Linked DNA regions of Neurospora crassa OR74A. The protein of the gene in region 1 interacts with the protein of each later gene in a pairwise test. Links are inferred from orthologs where the notes say so. Each region holds a gene or a part of one and is shown in the gene's direction. Other genes may lie near its edges.

Region 1 (3,163 bases):
GTAGCCTTCTTTCTCTGTTCCATCTTGAGCCGTAGCAGGCTCGCTTTGGGGCAGCTAACTGTTGACGCGCTTTCGCTGTTCTTTTCGTAAAACGCGTTGCAACACTCGTAGAGTGCGTCTATCTGTTTCTGGCATTTGCTCTCATCAAATCCGTTTCTGGTCAGGCAATCTGCGGCGTGAAGTGAGGTCAGCAAACTGCGAGTTCTGAACGACACAGGAGTCAAGCTGGTCATCCTCACTTTGTATCGCGCACTGCAGGCACGAAAGAACCGCATGTCAGCACACCACGCGTGCAAGCCGTAACAAAAGAACAAGGGAAACATGGAACAAACCGCGCGTGGATGGCATGGCGGACTGGCTGCGAGGTCGTCTTGCAATGTCTAACAAAGCAACATGAACGGTCAGCAGTGCCTCAGGGGAGAGCCGAGACATTCTGTAAGGGGAGACCTGAAGCTGGTACTGCGCCTAAACCCACCATGGTATCGAAATTTGAACGGTCGAGAACTCCGTCTGGTTGGAAGCTGGATCGCGAAGAAGTCAAGAACTGGCAGTTAGACGTACCCTTTGCTCAGGTGTTCATTAAATGGAAGGTAAAAGCCAGAGCTTCGAGTGGGACTCTACGCTCGAGGATCTCCCTCCTGCAAGTTTGGAATCCCCACAACCTAAACAATCCCGGTGCTTCGGTACCCCATTCTCCAGTCCAGTTGCCGCGCCTATCAGTAAAGGAAAACGGGTGGATGATGTCAGGAACTCTCCGGATCGAAAACACTTATCGGTGACCACCACTGCGTCAACCTATCTGTACCATTCTTCTACCAGCCTCACTACAACCTAACGCTGGAACAGGCAGTTAACCGCGGACTAGGACTACAAGGAACTGTTCATTACTATAGGGCTTGTGCGACGCAAGGTCGGGTGGTCTGCAAAGATGAGCGAAAGATTGGTATTCGAATGGTTGACCTAGAAGTAGTGCCAAGTGGCGGACAGTGAAATACTTGGGCACCTAGTTCTGTGGGCTTGCAATTCGGTGTATGAACACCTTCACGAATTGGCCTTCCTCGGCCCTTTCGTCTCATGTTCACCTTTTGGACCAGGTACGGGTATTATACGCATGTGTCGCATTTCAGTAGAGCCTTAAGGAGCGCAACTTACCACAAAAGTTGGCCAGGTTGAGAGGAGGCATCAAGGTTTCGTACAAATATTGGTGTTTCAAGGCTGGCCCCACCTGAACTTTGCGTCTGCTGCAGTCTTACAAACCGCCCTCCAGCCGTCGTTTACTGCATTCGCCGCAACCACGCTTCCACCTCAAAAGCACGACTTGACCCGGTGCACCTCGCCTTCCACTTCTCTAAATTCTCACGGACCTACTTGACTCGACGCTTCCCAAGACCAGAAGTCTGCCACAGCGTCTTTCAATACGCCTATCTACTGCAGTAAGACAATCCGCTTCTCCTCTCGAATTTTGCTGTTCCTCCACCAATTTCTGCTCCATCTCGTTGTGCGACAACACAGGCAGGACGAGACTCTCCGGCGCGTTGACACGCGCGCAATTTCTGACTTCCATCGCAGCCTGGAACTCTAGCATTTCCGAACATCGACACTTCAAACTCGGCCCTTCCAGTTTTCATTGACGAAATTTCTTTGCGACTAGACTTCTGCCTAGCATCTCCAACTCCCAAGTCATCAACATGGCGGACAACGCTGAGAACGGAAGTGGAAACGCTGGCTCCGATGCCGCCGCCCCCGCCGTCGAGCACCTTAATATCAAGGTGACGGATAACAACAACGAGGTCTTTTTCAAGATCAAGCGCAGCACCAAGCTCGAGAAGCTCATGACGGCGTTCTGCGAGCGTCAGGGCAAGACGCTGGCTTCGGTTAGGTTCCTCTTCGAGGGTCAGCGCGTACAGCCCACGGACACCCCGGACACTGTAAGTGAAGTCTGGCATGCACCTAACATCTGTGTTGATGTTGCTGCTAGCCCGGGAACACCATGGTAGACGAAGCACCCGAGCACGCCAGAAATATGTTTGCTAACCAGGTCCATTGCTACCATAATATAGCTCGAGATGCAGGACGGTGATTGCCTGGAAGTTCACCAAGAGCAGGTCGGCGGCTGGTAGATAAAAGGCGATCCTATACTACAACTACAAGGAGATGGGAGAAAGAAAAAGGCAACAAAAAAAAATACAAAAAAGACAAAATTACAACCGGCCATATGCATAGTAGCAAGCGGAACGACAACCGGCGACTTGATCACCAGAAGATAGCTCGCGAGTGGTATCCGATTCTATAACAGGACAGGGACTGGGTGGGAGTTTCGGAATGTGACAGCAGGATTGGACACGGGGTTACGGAGAACATCACAGCTTTTGCCATTGTCACTGGACGCACGCACTTTTTCTACTTTTGTTCCTATTCGCCGCATAGGTGATGCCTAGGAGAACCGGAGTTCGGAGGGTGCTATCATTGGGGTCATAGGGCGGAGGGGTATCGAGGAACATTGATTTGATTCTATTTATACCATACTTTGACGGGACGCCAACTGGCTTTGCCGGCATCTTATCTTCTGTTTGAAGCGTAAACACGGCATCTTTCCAAATGGCCTTCTGCCCCCTTTCTTCCCCCCTTTTTTCCAGTCCCAGATGTTGTAACAATACTGCGAGTGCTCGTTTATGATGCCATGCACATTCTCGAGCGCTGTCGAGTGTTTATTATCCTAGGAATTCAAGGACTCACATTGTTGTATCTGTCCCCGCTCAGCCAGTGAACCCGTTGCAGTGACATATTCGTAGACAGAGCCTTTACTCTCCTCTACCATCATCTCCAATTTGCCCAGCTTCGATCGTCGTTCCCGAGCGCTGTGGGATATCGTCAACTCCTTGCTTATCTTCCAAGGCTGATTTAACCATGACGTCCATAATGCCTATCAGGTAGGCTACGCTGACAAGTCCAAGGCAACCCCGAATAACCACACCATGACATCCTAGTTTCGTGTGTTGATGTGTTATTATTATAATATTGTTTGTATCTCGATACTCGTACATATGAACCCCTAAACACTATTGAGTAAAAGAAAATGTAGAGCAACTTGAACATCCTGATTCCAATGCTATGCAGAAGAAAAAAAAAAGGAAGAAAAAAAAAAACACCCTTACAATGCTTT
Region 2 (3,686 bases), on another chromosome or scaffold:
GGGACATCATCGGCTTCGTCATCAGCTTCGACGTCGGCTTCCGGCGTATCGGGCCTGATCTTGGGCGTCCATGACGAGTTGTTCGCGGGCGGCGCGAGGACGAAGGGATTAGGTGTCACACCCTTGGGCGTCGCTGAGAAGATGCTGGCCAAGGGCTGCTGTGGGTTAGAACAAAATCAATCAATCAATCAATCACTCTTGGTCGCCCGTCGCAGAAGAATGATGGACGCTGTCTGGATGCTTACCACTCTCACTTCGGTATTGGGCCCTTTGCGAATTGTCCGCGGTGTCTTGCCTCGTGGTCGTGCTGGCGTTTTGAAGATTTCGGCAATGTTCCTGTTCCTGGTCAGCGAGACAAAGAGAGGGAAATAAAACAAAGACAACGCACATTTGGTTCTCGCCCAAGAAAATGTCCTCCATGTGCTCGTTCAGCCAGTCCATCTCATTGCGCGCCGCATACGAGAACTCTTCGACTTCCTCCTCTGCCACCTTGAGCGCCGATGCGCGCTCTTCTGCAACCCACGCTGCCGAGCCGACGGGCAGACGTGGTGCCTTGCGCATCGCCATTTTTGCTGTTTGTTTACTTTGGCGCCAAAAGTCAACAAACCGGATTTGGGGATGTGGGGAAAGCTCTAAAAAAAAAAAAAACCCCCAAGCAATGATCGGAAAAGAAAGGAATGGCAACAAGTGAGATGTTCAAAGCATTGGTATGATTAGTTGGTCAAAGAAAGGGAGGGAGGTGGGCGACGAGGCTGGCGATGTGGTATAATGGTGGTTGTCGGAGGGATGACGGGATTGCGTCGATCGAGTCAAAGCAACAAAGAGAAAGTCAAAGTCAAACAAACCAAGTAAAAAGCGAGGGATCGGAGACCTGACCTGACCTGACCTGGGATGGAGTTCCTGTTGCCGGAGCAAATTCCCTTGTCTTGGTTTCAATTGTTAGTACCCAATCCGCTCCAGTCTTTGTTTTGGTTGATGCCCAAAAGGGAATAGTCTGGGCTGAGGGGAGCGAAGAGGTGGGGCTTCTGTTTCCACTGCACTGTTGCAGCGCTTTTGTGCCTGGAAACTGAAGGCCCCAGAACACACCCCCGCTGCACGCCTTCCCGTCGCCAATTCACGTGCAGGCCCTGTCATTACCGTATCGTGGGCACAATCAATACCGTCATGGAGAGATCAAAGGTCTGCAAGTAAGAGGTTGGCCACAAAGAGCTGTAAATGTTGAATAATGGCAGTGCAGATGTTCAGAGAGCCATGTTTAACTTGAAACAAAAACACCAACTGAAAGAGCAATTCCCAGGGAAAAGATCCCGAGTGCTAGATACCCGGGTCACTCTTCGGTATTCTTGCTGACCCTCGGCCAGTTTGTGTAAATACAGTGTAATGGAATTCTCCTCCTCGACAAAGTCGCGACCAGTCTCGTCCGACTTGCAGACATCGCGTCTCACATCTTCCGTCTCTTCTACAATACTACTTCCAGGCTTCCAGGTAGAACGAAGGCAGCCATCACCACCAACAAAGTACTCGGATACCCTTCAGTACAACCGACATTATCATGGACGTCTTTGGCGATGAAGCCTTCAACGTCCCCGACTCGACCGACTGGCTGGGCACGCCCCTCGCATGCCTGATGCCCGTCGAACAGGCTTTCCGCTGTCACGTATGCAAGGACTTTTACGACTCTCCCATGCTCACATCCTGCAATCACACCTTTTGCTCCTTGTGCATCCGAAGATGTCTGTCCGTCGACAGCAAGTGCCCGCTCTGTCGCGCCACCGACCAGGAATCCAAGCTCAGAGGCAACTGGGCTTTGCGCGAAGCCGTAGAAGCCTTCAAGAACTCCCGCAAAGTCCTTCTCGAGTTTGCTAGGACACCACCGACCATTCAGGCGATACTGCCAGACCAAGCAGGCCCCAGTTCGCCATCAAAACGAAAGGCGACCGAAATGGAGGGGCCAAAAGAGGAGGACCCAGAAAGCAAGAGGCCGAGGAGGTCAACCAGATCAACAAGAGCCCGAGCCGCCGAGTTGACAGCGGCAATACTACAAGAAGAGCAAGACACCACACCTTCAGCCGACCCGGATTACGTCGACCAACCACCCGGTTCGTTTCCCTCCTCCCGCTCCTCGTGGGTTGCTTCTATCATCATCATCATCACTGACCTCCCACCAGACGACGGCCTAGTAGCCTGCCCCATCTGCCTCACCCGCATGAAGGAACAGCAAGTCGACCGCCACCTCGACACCTCTTGTCCCGGTTCTCCCCAGGCCGCATCCAAACGACGACCGATCCCCGCTCAAACACCACAGCCATCGACCTTTCCATCCTTCAACACCCGCCTCACATCTCAAACCAACCAAAAACCACCCGAACGCCTCCCCGCCCTAGCCTACTCCATGCTGCGCGACACCGCCCTGCGCAAGAAACTCTCCGAACTCGGCCTCTCCACCCACGGTTCTCGCCAGCTCTTGGAGAAGCGCCACAAGGAGTGGATCACGCTTTGGAACGCCAACTGCGACTCTTCGCGACCCAAAAAGCGGTCCGAGTTACTTCGCGATCTAGACGAATGGGAACGGACAGTAGGGAATCCCGGCACAGCAGCAGGAGGAGGAGGGGGGCAGCAGGGACTCGGACTCATGGCGAGGGCGCAAGCTACTGGAGCGCAGATCAAGGACAAGGAGTTCGATGGCAAAGCTTGGGCAACTCGGTATGGAGGGAGTTTTGGGGATTTGATCAAGCAGGCCCGGCAGGGGATTAAGAGGCAGACTTTGGATGGTAATGGGGAGAAGGCGGATACCAAGGGTGGGGGTGGGGGTGAGGATGTTGGCCCAGCTGAACTTCCGACACTACAAGCGAGAGAGGGGGAAAGCAGTGCAGCGCCAACACGGATGGATATTGTCCCGCCATCAAGTCCACCACGACCGGGGCAGGTGGATGACGCGGATACAGAACACGACGGGCAAGCTCCTGGAAAGGATGCTATAGCAGAGGATACCGCCATGAGGGAACAAGTCATTCCCGGGACTCCAGACAAGGAACGGCAGTGGGAGACGTCACAGCAGCAGCAGCCACCAATACCTGGGGATGCTCAACTGAGTGGGATGAAGAAGCCAAATCCAGAGACATGTTAAGGCCGATGGATATATTATGACAGGCACTCTTTTCTCCTACTTTACTAATTTACCCTGTGTTCTGTATGACATTTGTAGTCCATCCGGACTAGACCCACTTAACCTCTACACTAAAACCCACCCCACCCCCAGAAGACCCACATTTCTGTGGGCCGGGTCCGCTGAAGGATGTCGACGGGGGGTAAAAGTGATAGAGACTACTTACCACAGGAACCTAGTGACACCTACCCCCAACGTAAACATCGCCCCCAGGATACGACTCCCCCTTCACCCCGCCTCTCAACTCCTCTCCCATGCCCGCCCCCTTCAAAATTCCCTCCTGCCGCTTCACCTCCCTCACCACCCTCTCCGGATACAAGACCAAAAACCCCGCCATCACCACCCCCATCGGCACCCCATCAAACACATAGACAAACCACTCATGACTTGCCACCACCCCGTCCGTTCCCCCCAAATACTCGGCCCCGCGCACCACACTCCTGACAACCAACATAGCCCCCGCCACCTCCATCACACCAAAATACCACAGCCATCTCACCCCAGGGTCCATCAGCATTGC
Region 3 (4,261 bases), on another chromosome or scaffold:
GACCATTCTGGCCTTCAAACTTGCGAACCTCATCAACTTTTATAAGAGCACCTTCTCCAGGTTGGTGGGCCCGGCGTCGATTCTCGTTGAAGCGATGGGTACCCTCGAAACGGAAGCATTGCGCCAATTCCGATCTCTGGCTCGGGACCACGTCGCCACTCTCCAAACTGAGTTCCAGCACACTCCACCAGACCTTCGGCCTCCCGACTTCCTTACGGATGCGTTGGAACAGCTATCGGCAATCATGAAAACGTACGAAACGTCACTAAGCTCATCGGGTGATGATCCAGAAGCAGAGTTCGCGTCCATCATGGCTGAGGCATTCGACCCATTCATGGCTGGCTGCATCAATATGGCCAACCATGCCACCCCGCCGTCCAAATCCATCTTCCTGATCAACTGCTTCGTGGCTGCGCGGACAACGCTCTCCGGCTTCACTTTTGTTCGCAAATATGCTGCAGATATACAGACCAAAATTGAGGAGGAAAAGGCTCGGTTGGTTATTGCACAGTACGAGCTGTTTAGGGCCGAGTCCGGTTTAGATTCCCTCATTGAAGCGCTGGATGGGCTAGACATACGGAAGAAGGATGATGTTGGAAAGGTTGCGACACTAGAGGAGGTTCAACCTGAAGCACTGCGACAGTCAAGTCAGAAGCTGGACGATTTCTTGCCATCGGCGCTGATTGATGCAACGGAAAAGCTCAAGAATCTGCAGGATTCCAAGCTGGCGAGCAGTGTGATTGAGGAGGCAGCCGAAAGATTCTGCGTGGATTTTGAACATGTGGAGGAGATGTTGCTGTCGGCTGACGAATTGGAGGAGCAAAGGAGAGTTGAGGAGGACGGCGACGAAGAACATTCCCAAAGTTTTCGGGCGCTGTTCCCAAGGACATCGAGCGAGATCCGCGTGCTATTGTCGTAGCGTGAGCGAAACGGCGAAGGCAGGAGAAGCCAGCTATGGTTTTTACTGACGGGACCCAGGTCTGCCATGTTCTCGTCAAAATAGTTTCAATCTCATATAAATCTCACCATAGTGGACTGCTGGGTAAGGTAAACCTTGGGAAGTAGCGGGAGCCGAGAACCCCGGTCGAGTGTGTACGTGTACACTGGTGTGGTCGTCGGCGTATGACTGAAAAACGGCCCTCAAGTAGTGACAAACTTGGGTACCTTTACAGGGAAATACAAGACTGACAGCACTCTTGCATGCGATGAGACTGAGCTTGAATCCCGACAGCCCTGTGAGTCCCCTCAAGCGCGGAGCCGCGGACGAGGAGGATCTGGAAGCTGCTGAATACCTATTGGGCGGTGCGGGGCATCCCATTCGGCCGTCCCGATTTCCGATGCCCAAGAATAGGTACATATCGCATATCAACGTCATTTTCGGGCCGCGCCTGACGGGATGCTGATGGTCCCGATGGAAGCTCAGATGAACGATACAAGTCGTGCTATCGGCCTCCCCCTCAGGTTGGGCCTGTTCGTTACTATCCAGAGGCCAAAAGGTAACAAACAGGTGGAACGGGCCAAGGCAGACAAACAGACGAAAAAGGCGAGAAAGGCCTGGTCTGGGTACCTGCCACTGTCGGGCTGCCAGGTCCCCGCCTTCCCGCCCCAATTGCCCCACTACGTCTTCAGCTAGGGAGCTAGTAGGTCCCATTCAGGCGGTTGCAACAACGTTCATAAGGCAACATCGATAACTACACTTAAACAAAGATACCATCGATCCTATATGTAGGTCTACTGGTGTGCAAGCTTAGATCCTGGATACCTACCTGGTATACAAAACCTTGATACTAACCTCAAGACACTCAATTAGTTGGCACGTCTTGGTCGCGAATCAACCACGCACATTGATTGCGTCAACGTCCCGTTGCACCGCCAATACGTCTCCTCTCCGGATTCCGGTTGGCCTACAGAAGCGCGCTGGTACCTCTACGCCTCAAGAAACGTGGACCTGAGCCTTCCTTGGGGGCCCTTCGTTAGACCTGTTCTTCCATTCGGCAACTGCCTTCGGGACGTTTTGCGACCGCCCGATTTTCCAACATCCTTCGCAACGGCGATGCCGTCTGTGCGCGTAGAGCTGTAGGGTACAGGCCGATCCACAGCATCTGCTGAGATCCTGTTCTTGACCGGACACTCCCGTCTACCTAGGCCGCCCTTGGAGAGCGAAAGTCCGCTACGCCCTTTTGAAAAGTGCACACAGACATTCCGTGATGTGTATACGTCTTACTTCTTACGATGCTGCGCAACAGATCAGCCGCTTCAGTTTTGCAAAAGACATATGATGAAAGCTACCTGACATGCTCCACTGCTGTCTATTACGAAGGCCAGGTCAGTATGACGTTCTGTGATCGTCACCCTTTTCTCCCATCTGTCAGTAACCAAGTGCTAATCTTGCGCGGTCATCTAGGGCAATGAGGATGAGGCTATGCGATGCTGGAAACAGGCACTCGAGCAAATCTATGACCAGCAAGCAAACAAAATCTTGCCAGCCTTCACCCCACGTTCCGAGACGGAGAAGGCGCTGGTGGACAGTCTTCGGCAACTCGAGGTACAGTGCAAGGAACGAATTGATCTTCTAGAGGCCCTGCGTCTTTCGCGCCTCGAATCTCTCGAGCATGACGCTACACCATCCGCGTCACGTTTGTCACCGTTGCCGAACCTTTTAGAACCCCCCAAGGGCTGGATAGGTGACGGAACAATCCCAGCCGTAACCTATACAGACCTTTCCCGACCAACTCCCGCCAAGCGACCCTTTGTAGGGTCTAGGTCCATCTCAGAACATACCATGCCTACACCTGGGCCTTCTGCCGAGGTGCGTACGCCAGGCGGGGAGTTTCCCTTTGCATGCACACGACCAGTGTTACCGTCACCACCGTCGGCGTCAAGGCCTTCGCTCGAGGAGGGAACATCGTCAGGGACACGCAGCCCCGAGAAGCATACCATGCGCACAACCCTGCGGACCGGACGTTTGGGAGACAAGAGAACTAGCCATCGCCAGACACCTCCAACCTCGGTTTCAGAACGCCCTGGTGCCAGTAAGGCAGCCTCGCTTGCCTGGAGCTATCTTGGGAAAAGAGAAAGATCGAGTCCGTCAGGGAGTGCCAGCGGTAATAGTGGGGGAATTGGCACCACTGATCAGACGAGTTCGGTACCGCCCGCAACCTCTCCCTACTTAGTGGAAAGGCGACGTCAAAGTCCAGCGTTGGCAGGCCGGCAGCAGCAATGGGACACGCATACCAGGCGACTGGTCATGGGTCGTCCTCGGAGCCAATCCAAACCGCCTCATGCACGGCCTACTCCGGAATCATCGGCACCCCGCCGTTCTGATGAGCATACACACACTCGCCAATCCTCCTTCACCATCAGCGCTGCTGCCGCATCAAGTGCACTCAACGCATTGACTTTGAGGGATAACAACGAGCGCTCGCCGTTGGAAGGGGGGGAAGGACTTCGGCTAAGAACAGCTCCGCTACAGACACCAAGGAGGAGGCCTCTGCCTGCGACGGGGAACACAGATGAGGAAGACACTGCATACTCTGCGAAAGGAAGCGCAACAACGACCAGAAAATCGAACAGAAAGATGTCCGATCCAACGCTGGCCCAACGGAAGCCCATCAGCCGAACTTCTTACCTAACAAGCACGGCAAGGCCTGCGTCGGGCAGATCGGCAACGACACAGGATGTTGATACACCTCGGATGAGCGCTAAGGCAAGGGGCAAAAAGCTTGAACAAGTCCCAATTTCGTCAAGTTCTGAGGATTCTGAATATGGAACTCCCCGACGGCCGACAACAAGACAGCACCTAAGACAGATACTGAAGCAGAGGGATGTTTCCCTGGTTGCCGATACACCGGCCCACAACTCCGAAAGTCAAGAATCTGAAGGCAACGATGGGGCGGCTCAACAAAGGTCAGAAGCTGCCAAGTGGAACAAGCAAAAGGCAAAGATATTGCGCCGTCTTCCTCCAGGGGTTGATGAACATGCTGCAAAACAGATTCTAAACGAAATCGTCGTTCAGGGTGATGAAGTTCACTGGAATGACATAGCCGGCCTCGAGGTAGCCAAAAATGCACTTCGGGAGACCGTAGTTTATCCTTTTCTCCGACCGGACCTATTTAGGGGTCTTCGCGAGCCGGCCAGAGGCATGCTGCTTTTTGGGCCACCGGGAACAGGAAAGACTATGTTGGCGCGCGCAGTGGCCACGGAGTCCAAATCTACCTTCTTCTCCATCTCTGCTAGTAGTCTGACAAGTAAGTACCTCGGC
Region 4 (4,222 bases), on another chromosome or scaffold:
AAGTATACCACGGGAATGGTGGATAATGGTGGAGGACCTTGCGATGCCGCTTTCCTGTAGCTTGAGCTGCGTCGAGCGGGACCCGGGGCTTCTATCGATGATATGGACGTAATGGATGAGCTGGATGCCCTCCTGGATGCGCCAGATCGTTTGCCCGGTCGTAGGTGGCCATCCTCGGCTGAGGTTGCGTCCGCCTTGCTACCTCGTCTGCTGTGAGTACCAGATGCCTCTTCTTCGTCTGCCTGAACCCGTCGTAATTGTTCGTATAACGCGCCGACTTGGGTGAGATATTGTGTGAATTCGGAATTGTCAATGCGAGGGACATTGGTGAGCGTGACAGGTGGAATGTCTCGAGCAGTCGGAGGCTTATGCGCAGTGGAAGCGGGTGCTGAGGTATGGGGAAGGAGGCCGGTTCGGACTATGGGCGGTTGGAGCAGGGTTGAGATGGCGTTCTGACCGGACTCTAGGACGGCGTCACCCCAGGTACCAGTGGAACTGTCGAGAGAGCCACCGATGGAGTGTATGGAGCCCGCCGTCGAATCCCGTCGAGAATGGAACGGGCGGCTCGGACTGCGTGAGCCTCTCCTTCAAGGAGATGTTAGTGTATATTACGGAAAGGGCATGGACAGACAAAGCGCATCGCACCCGTGGAAAGGAAAGTCGCCAAACCGCCCGGCATCGGGTATTGGCGAAAGACTATCGACCGACTTGCGAGCACCCTGGTTGGAGAACATGATGGCTCATAAGTCTCCCGGAAGTCCTAGGCCTAAGCTCAGGGGAAGACGAAATGGCCGTTGGTCATGCGCCGGTGGATTGGCGACGTGGGAAGATGGGGAGGGGGTTCGGTAATCGGTATTAGTCTATCGAGCTGTAGGCGCGGGCCGGCAGGCCAAGGGAAGCAACCAAGGTAGGTGGCGTTGAGGCTATCGTGGTCCAGAGTATGGGCGGTTACTGCGAAGGGTCACGGGGGTATCATAGCGAAACGAGAACAAGACAAGAACCAGATTGTATTTTCCACAGAAGATGGCCAAGAAGAGGCGCAAAGCTGTAGTCTCGACGCGAGCAGGTGTTGAGGTCAGGGACTCGGAGCTGCCTGTCGAATGTCAAGGTCCCCCCAATTCACAGCGGAAGCCACGCAGCGGGCATTGGATCCCACAGGACCCTTGTTCGGGATACGTAGCGCAGTTGAATGAAGCTCCGCCCGCCACTGATGATTACCTACGCAGTAAGTATACTGTGGTATGTATTTGAGCGGGCCACAAAGCTGGGTCTTGCACCGGTTGCTGCAAAAGTGTCTGGAGGGTGAACCCCCCCTAGCTGGATATCCTTTTAAGCACTCCTTTTCCTCCGCACTTCAGGGGGCCTGCCTGCTGAGCCGTCAGGTACCTGCCATTCAGCTACAAGTGGGGTGCCCATTAAAACCCCTGCCAAAAATCGCGTCTTGGGTGTGCAGTATCAATGTTTCTCGCGTCGCGGTTTTCGCACATGTTTTGCCATTTTGGATTCTCCCTCTGTTAGTTGTCTTTCTGCCCCCAACAACCCCTCCCTTCTCTGCTATTTTCTACAATTCTCCCGGTGCGAACATCTACGGCCAGTGCACGCGAGTAAACAAAACAATCACATACCAAGCCACCGTCAGCTATGGATTATCAGTCCGTCTTCTCAGCCCGGACCTACGCCGGCGCTGCTTCTTCATATGTACCAGAGGAGGACAGCAACCAGCACATTCGCGCCCAGCTCGAGGCTTTCATTCTCGACTTCCGACTAGATAACAGCTTTATCTACAGGTTCGTACTCTGTGTAGCATACTCCTGTCCTCTGTCGAGCTTCCTGTTAACATTACTCCTTCCAGAGACCAACTACGAGAAAATGCCCTTCTAAAGAAATACTACTGCGATGTCAACATTGGCGACTTGATCAAATTCAATGAAGAAATTGCCCATAGACTAGTCACCGAACCCGCCGAGATTATCCCTCTGTTCGAGGCCGCTCTGAAGCGCTGCACACACCGAATCGTCTTCCCAAACGAACCCAAGATAGACCTGCCCGACCACCAACTGCTTCTACACTCCAACGCCGAAGATGTTTCTATCCGTAACCTCGACTCCCTTACAATCTCCCGGCTGGTCCGGGTACCTGGTATCGTCATTGGTGCCTCGGTAATGTCGTCCAAGGCGACTGAGCTCCACGTCCAGTGCCGCAACTGCGGCCACGTCCAACACGTTCACGTATCCGGCGGCTTCAGTGGCGCTACCCTTCCCAGGACATGTGGCAGAATCAGGGCACCTGGGGACCCTGGCGAGAAGTGCCCAATGGATCCCTACTTTGTACAACATGAAAAGTCCAGATTCGTCGATCAGCAAATTATCAAGCTTCAGGAAGCTCCAGACCAAGTTCCCGTCGGTGAACTGCCCCGCCATGTCCTGATTTCCGCCGACCGCTACCTCACGAACCGCGTGGTGCCCGGCTCAAGGTGTACCGTCATGGGTATTTTTTCTATATACCAAAGTGGAGGCAACAAGAAGTCCACAAGCGGCGCCGTCGCCATTCGCACACCCTATCTCCGCGCAGTCGGTATCCAGACAGACATTGACCAAACAGCCAAGGGTCTGGCTGTCTTTTCCGAGGAGGAAGAGCAGGAGTTCCTTGAGCTTAGCCGTCGTCCAGATCTCTACAATGTCATGGCCGAATGCATCGCGCCGTCCATCTATGGAAATAAGGATATCAAAAAGGCTATCCTCTGTTTACTCATGGGTGGCTCCAAGAAGATCCTTCCAGATGGCATGAGGCTTCGTGGTGATATCAACGTCCTCATGCTTGGTGATCCCGGTACGGCCAAGTCACAACTGCTCAAGTTCGTCGAAAAAGTCGCTCCTATCGCCATCTACACCTCCGGCAAGGGTTCCTCCGCCGCCGGTTTGACGGCTTCCGTCCAGCGTGACGCTTCCACGCGCGAGTTCTACCTCGAAGGCGGTGCCATGGTTCTCGCTGACGGCGGTGTCGTCTGTATCGATGAGTTCGACAAGATGCGCGATGAGGACAGAGTGGCAATACACGAAGCTATGGAGCAACAAACCATTTCCATCGCCAAGGCCGGCATCACCACGATCCTCAATGCTCGAACTTCGGTCTTGGCCGCCGCTAACCCCATCTTTGGCCGCTACGACGACATGAAGACCCCGGGCGAGAACATCGACTTTCAGACCACCATCTTGTCGCGTTTCGACATGATCTTCATCGTCAAGGATGAGCACGAGCGCGGCCGTGATGAGCGCATCGCCAAGCACGTTATGGGTATCCATATGGGTGGTCGTGGTGTCGAGGAGCGGATTGAGGCAGAGATCCCGGTCGAGAAGATGAGGCGGTACATCAGCTATTGCCGATCGTAAGTTGTTTATGCTCCTATCTACCACCTTAGACACATAAAAACTGACATTGTCGCTCCTCCAGCCGCTGCGCCCCGCGCCTCTCTCCGGAAGCCGCCGAGAAGCTCTCCTCGCACTTCGTCGCCATCCGCAAGCAAGTGCACGCCTCAGAGCTTGAAGCCAACGCGCGCTCCTCGATTCCCATCACGGTCCGCCAGCTCGAAGCCATTGTGCGCATCACCGAGTCGCTCGCCAAGCTGACGCTCTCGCCCGTCGCGACGGAGAAGCACGTGGACGAGGCCATCCGGCTATTCCTGTGCTCGACCATGGACGCCGTCAACCAAGGTGGCAGCACGGGCAGCAATCGGGAGTTGAACGAGGAGACGTCCCGCGTCGAGGCCGAGCTGAAGCGCCGCTTGCCCATCGGCTGGAGCACCAGCTTGGCGACCCTGCGCAGGGAAATGGTGGAGGGTAAAGGGTTTAGCGAGGTGGCGCTGAATAGGGCGCTGATGATGTTGCAGAGGCGGGATACCATTATGTTTAGGAACCAGGGCGCGCAGGTTTATAGGAATGGCGCGTAGAAGGGATGGTGGGGAAATGACGGAGTGTTTTTCGAAGATGTTCCGACGAAAAAAAGAGAAAAGAAAAGCAAAACCGAAGCGTTCTTGCTCTGCTATTTTATTTTTCTTTGGGTGTACAGGTTAACAAGTACAATATGGGGTTTCATGGCAATGGGCGTAAGGGGGGCTCTTCCAATTTTATTTGGGTCTGACATGGTAGATATTTTGTCTGTCACAGTTTTCAACGGCCAGCTAGAAGACACACATTCGATGATCTTGCTGCAGTTTAGTATTCTC
Region 5 (3,491 bases), about 750 kb from region 1:
TGGAGAGTGCCTCATCAGGGGCAATCCCCCCACCCATCCCACGAGACCAGAGGCATGATTACCCTCGTCGCCACGGCTTGCGGGTTCCCCATGCTTTGAACGAAGATACCCTCCGCAGACTCGAAGGCCAAGACGGAGGAGCACAGCCGCCACAAAGACCAGCAGTCCATGACATCTATGTGCCGACCAGAAACTCCCAACGACAACAAGAGGCCCGGGATGGGCACATTGGTGGTCCTACCAGGCGAGACCAGCAAATCACTGATTCTAAATCAGGCGACTCCTACGCTGATTCTGCCCATCAGCGGTTACCGAGAAGCGACAGTGGAAGATCCTATAACTCATCCAGCGGCGGCGAAGGAGGGGAAAGACTGTATGAGCCAAGAGGAGCTGAAAGAAGAGATGTCGCCGTCGGTGATCCCTTTGGCACTCCCTCCTTGCAGGTGATATATCAGCAGCACAGCAGGAGGATACGAAGCCCATGATAATCACTGCCCCTGAGCCGACCTTGGGGCCTAGGAATTTGCATTTTACACCTAACAACAGATCTGCTGCTCGGAGAGTCGATGACGGGTTTTGACATCCTACCTGTGGGAAGGCTTGGAACACCGGGTATAGAGCCCAGGATAAACCATGACGCATCTTAACAGTCCGCAAGGGGGGGGAGGGAAGATGGTGAGGTAATTAGCCAGGGTAGTCGTGTGTCTGGGTATGGATGGAGGTAGTGAGTGAGGAGCATACATCGGCCTCTCCAAAAGTTGCATTGTTGGGCCATTCTTGCGGTTTTCTTTTGTGGGTGTTCCCTGAGATTTGTTCAAATGGGACACAGGCGGCAGACGTCGTTAAATGACTGTGATACTTGGTCCTAGAAACCGAGGTGGCAAAAACTCGGAAGAGGCGGCCGCGTCGAGAACCTAATGAGCAAGAGTTGTTGTCTCCTCTTTGGATAGGGTGTTCTCGGACAGAGGGCAGTAGGAATAAAATAGCATGAAAACTGTATCTCTGTATCGGTGTACGCCGTAAATACGAAGACGCCTGTGACAATGTTGACGGGGAGTACCATAGTGTTTGTGGTGTACGGAATTGGCATGAAGTGACAAACCCCCAGGGGTGACCGTTCGGTTCGTTGTAGCGGACCCCACAGGGGAACCATCCTGTCGCCTCCGTCATTCCCGTCTGGGCTCCACTGAATCTAGGCATCCGGCGGGGCCAATGGTGTCTAGTAGGTACCTTATTAGTATCCCGCATGCTGGGCTGGATTGGTCATCCAGGTCACATGTTAACGTGTCGCACTTCCCCAATTTGTAGGACGCGGGTCGCGCTCTTGCCTGCTGTTTTCGCCTCTGTCAACATTTGCGTATCCTTGGCTCCAGTCCCGCTCGCTTTTTTTTCTTCTTGCGCCTTTCTGTCTTGCTTTTCTGTGGCCATATCCAAGACGTTTTCGCTCGCTGCTGGTCATACATACCATCACTAAACGTAAAGAAACCCCGAAATTGTTGCACCGAAGAGCACAACAAATAGCACGATGTCGAACAACGAGGAGTACGATGAGTCTGCCAACATGGAGGACGACAGCGGGATACCAAACCCAGGCGCCCCAACACCACTTTCTGCTCTAGAGGTACGGATCACTTTCTTTGATGGATCCATCCGGATTGCAAACAACCAACTGACTTGCCTAGGGTGTTGCCGGACTTACCAAGCGAGACATTCAGCTGATTGTTGATGGAGGCTTCAACACCGTTGAATCTGTTGCCTATACCCCCCGGAGGGTACTGGAGCAGATCAAAGGTATTTCGGAGCAAAAGGCAGGGAAAATCCTGGCAGAAGGTCAGTAGCCAGCATTTGACATTCCTAGAGGTTCCATTTTGGGAGTGCATGATTACTGACACTATCATCAAGCCTCTAAACTTGTGCCTATGGGTTTTACTACTGCGACGGAGATGCACCAGCGCCGCAGCGAACTGATTTCCATCACGACAGGCTCCAAAAATCTGGATACACTATTGGCTGGTGGTATCGAGACCGGCAGTGTCACCGAAATCTTTGGAGAGTTCAGAACAGGAAAGTCGCAGATCTGCCATACTCTTGCGGTAACATGCCAGCTCCCATTTGACATGGGGGGTGGTGAGGGAAAATGTCTCTACATCGACACTGAAGGTACCTTCCGGCCTGTGCGTCTCCTAGCAGTGGCCAACCGATACGGTCTCTCAGGCGAAGAAGTTCTTGACAACGTTGCGTACGCAAGAGCCTACAATTCGGACCATCAGCTGCAGCTCTTGAACCAGGCCGCAGCCATGATGTGCGAGACCCGCTTCAGTCTGTTGATTGTCGACTCCGCGACCTCGCTCTACAGAACGGACTTCTTGGGTCGTGGCGAACTCAGTTCCCGCCAAACCCATCTCGCAAAGTTTATGCGCACACTCCAGCGCCTTGCCGACGAGTTTGGTATTGCGGTGGTGATCACCAATCAGGTCGTGGCGCAGGTTGATGGTGGTCCGTCTGCCATGTTTAATCCAGACCCCAAAAAACCAATTGGTGGCAACATCATTGCGCACGCCAGTACTACTCGCATCAGCCTGAAGAAGGGTCGCGGAGAGACCAGAATCGCAAAGATCTACGACAGCCCATGTTTACCAGAGAGCGACTGCTTGTTTGCCATCAACGAGGACGGCATTGGTGATCCTAGCCCGAAGGATATGGAGAAGATGAATCAGTAGTTTGCAGTGGGGATGGCGACAGCAAATCAACACGAAATTCATACAACAATCTAGGGACGCAAGGGGCTGCTGATTTGACGGTATAAGGATAATGTGTGTTTTTGATGGGCATAGCGCGTTTTTATTGTTAGCATGGGAGGGCAGCCTGGCGTCACACTTGTCTGGTATGACTGGTAAAACTTGGGAGTTGGTAGAGTTATCAATAACTACGGTACACTGTTTTTTTTTTCTAATACAATCGACGAAGTGAAGCCGTCAAAGTCATCTCGCCAACTGATCATTTGACCTGTGCAGAAGCAGCGTCTCGATGCTGAGGGCAAGTGTCACAGGTTTGATCATCCAAAGACCTCACCACCGAAGCTGAAGCTCTCGTTAACGTGAAGGAAATTTCATTGAAATCCAAGTTGCTGTCGTCCATACTCGTGATGCAACAGGCCATGCACCACATAATCTTCGAGGGAATGTGTCAGGACAAAAGGTACGCTCTGTGACTTGAAGTTACAGATTAAGGGCTATCATCCATCTAGCGTTGTTAATAAAATCGCGGATTTCAAAGGCTATTGCTTCCTTCTTGATGTGACGTACCACCTTGCAGTGTGTCCTATTCGCATAGTCTCTCACTAGCGCGGGATACTTGGGCTTAGCACCGAGTTTCCCCACCAACCACGCCAGCGATTGACTGACCCGCTGCAACTGCTACCGACGCTTGCAGCGTTGCGCTGTGCTTGGGAACTTGAACAGTTGAACTTCTGCTGCAGTGGGCGGCCAGAA

Evidence for each region.
Region 2: the proteins of NCU09813 (region 1) and uvs-2 interact in a two-hybrid assay, tested with the Saccharomyces cerevisiae proteins (2 studies listed by BioGRID). The link is inferred for Neurospora crassa OR74A from reciprocal best matches to the Saccharomyces cerevisiae genes SMT3 and RAD18.
Region 3: the proteins of NCU09813 (region 1) and NCU02420 interact in a two-hybrid assay, tested with the Saccharomyces cerevisiae proteins (2 studies listed by BioGRID). The link is inferred for Neurospora crassa OR74A from reciprocal best matches to the Saccharomyces cerevisiae genes SMT3 and SAP1.
Region 4: the proteins of NCU09813 (region 1) and NCU01171 interact in binary tests that used the Saccharomyces cerevisiae proteins (3 or more experiments, as listed by UniProt). The link is inferred for Neurospora crassa OR74A from reciprocal best matches to the Saccharomyces cerevisiae genes SMT3 and MCM5.
Region 5: the proteins of NCU09813 (region 1) and mei-3 interact in a two-hybrid assay, tested with the Saccharomyces cerevisiae proteins (2 studies listed by BioGRID). The link is inferred for Neurospora crassa OR74A from reciprocal best matches to the Saccharomyces cerevisiae genes SMT3 and RAD51.

Annotation. Positions count from the first base shown.
Region 1 is NC_026501.1:4,134,519-4,137,681, reverse strand, and holds NCU09813 (SMT3, variant 2), read left to right. Parts: upstream 1-1,246; 5' UTR 1,247-1,433; exon of another isoform or gene 1,434-1,651; 5' UTR 1,652-1,688; coding exon 1,689-1,928; intron 1,929-2,060; coding exon 2,061-2,120; 3' UTR 2,121-2,663; downstream 2,664-3,163. Other genes in the region: NCU16378 (DUF1903 domain-containing protein), read right to left, coding at 1-169, 240-252, 333-380, 476-478. UniProt on the Saccharomyces cerevisiae protein: Not known; suppressor of MIF2 mutations.
Region 2 is NC_026504.1:5,740,608-5,744,293, forward strand, and holds uvs-2 (postreplication repair E3 ubiquitin-protein ligase rad-18), read left to right. Parts: upstream 1-1,376; 5' UTR 1,377-1,552; coding exon 1,553-2,099; intron 2,100-2,168; coding exon 2,169-3,127; 3' UTR 3,128-3,186; downstream 3,187-3,686. Other genes in the region: NCU05211 (hypothetical protein), read right to left, coding at 1-155, 246-336, 389-567; NCU05209 (hypothetical protein), read right to left, coding at 3,342-3,686. UniProt on the Saccharomyces cerevisiae protein: E3 RING-finger protein, member of the UBC2/RAD6 epistasis group. Associates to the E2 ubiquitin conjugating enzyme UBC2/RAD6 to form the UBC2-RAD18 ubiquitin ligase complex involved in postreplicative repair (PRR) of damaged DNA.
Region 3 is NC_026507.1:2,554,564-2,558,824, forward strand, and holds the start of NCU02420 (AAA family ATPase), read left to right. Parts: upstream 1-1,461; 5' UTR 1,462-1,725; intron 1,726-1,734; exon of another isoform or gene 1,735-1,810; 5' UTR 1,811-2,232; coding exon 2,233-2,325; intron 2,326-2,404; coding exon 2,405-4,261. Other genes in the region: NCU02421 (hypothetical protein), read left to right, coding at 1-919.
Region 4 is NC_026505.1:3,119,120-3,123,341, reverse strand, and holds the start of NCU01171 (DNA replication licensing factor mcm5), read left to right. Parts: upstream 1-1,422; 5' UTR 1,423-1,641; coding exon 1,642-1,787; intron 1,788-1,852; coding exon 1,853-3,385; intron 3,386-3,450; coding exon 3,451-3,946; 3' UTR 3,947-4,222. Other genes in the region: NCU01172 (GARP complex component), read right to left, coding at 1-585, 646-734. UniProt on the Saccharomyces cerevisiae protein: Acts as a component of the MCM2-7 complex (MCM complex) which is the putative replicative helicase essential for 'once per cell cycle' DNA replication initiation and elongation in eukaryotic cells.
Region 5 is NC_026501.1:3,388,809-3,392,299, forward strand, and holds mei-3 (MEI3), read left to right. Parts: upstream 1-1,307; 5' UTR 1,308-1,525; coding exon 1,526-1,621; intron 1,622-1,682; coding exon 1,683-1,830; intron 1,831-1,902; coding exon 1,903-2,720; 3' UTR 2,721-2,991; downstream 2,992-3,491. Other genes in the region: NCU02740 (hypothetical protein), read left to right, coding at 1-485. UniProt on the Saccharomyces cerevisiae protein: Required both for recombination and for the repair of DNA damage caused by X-rays. Its function may be modulated by interaction with other repair proteins. RAD52 interacts directly with RAD51, via its C-terminus.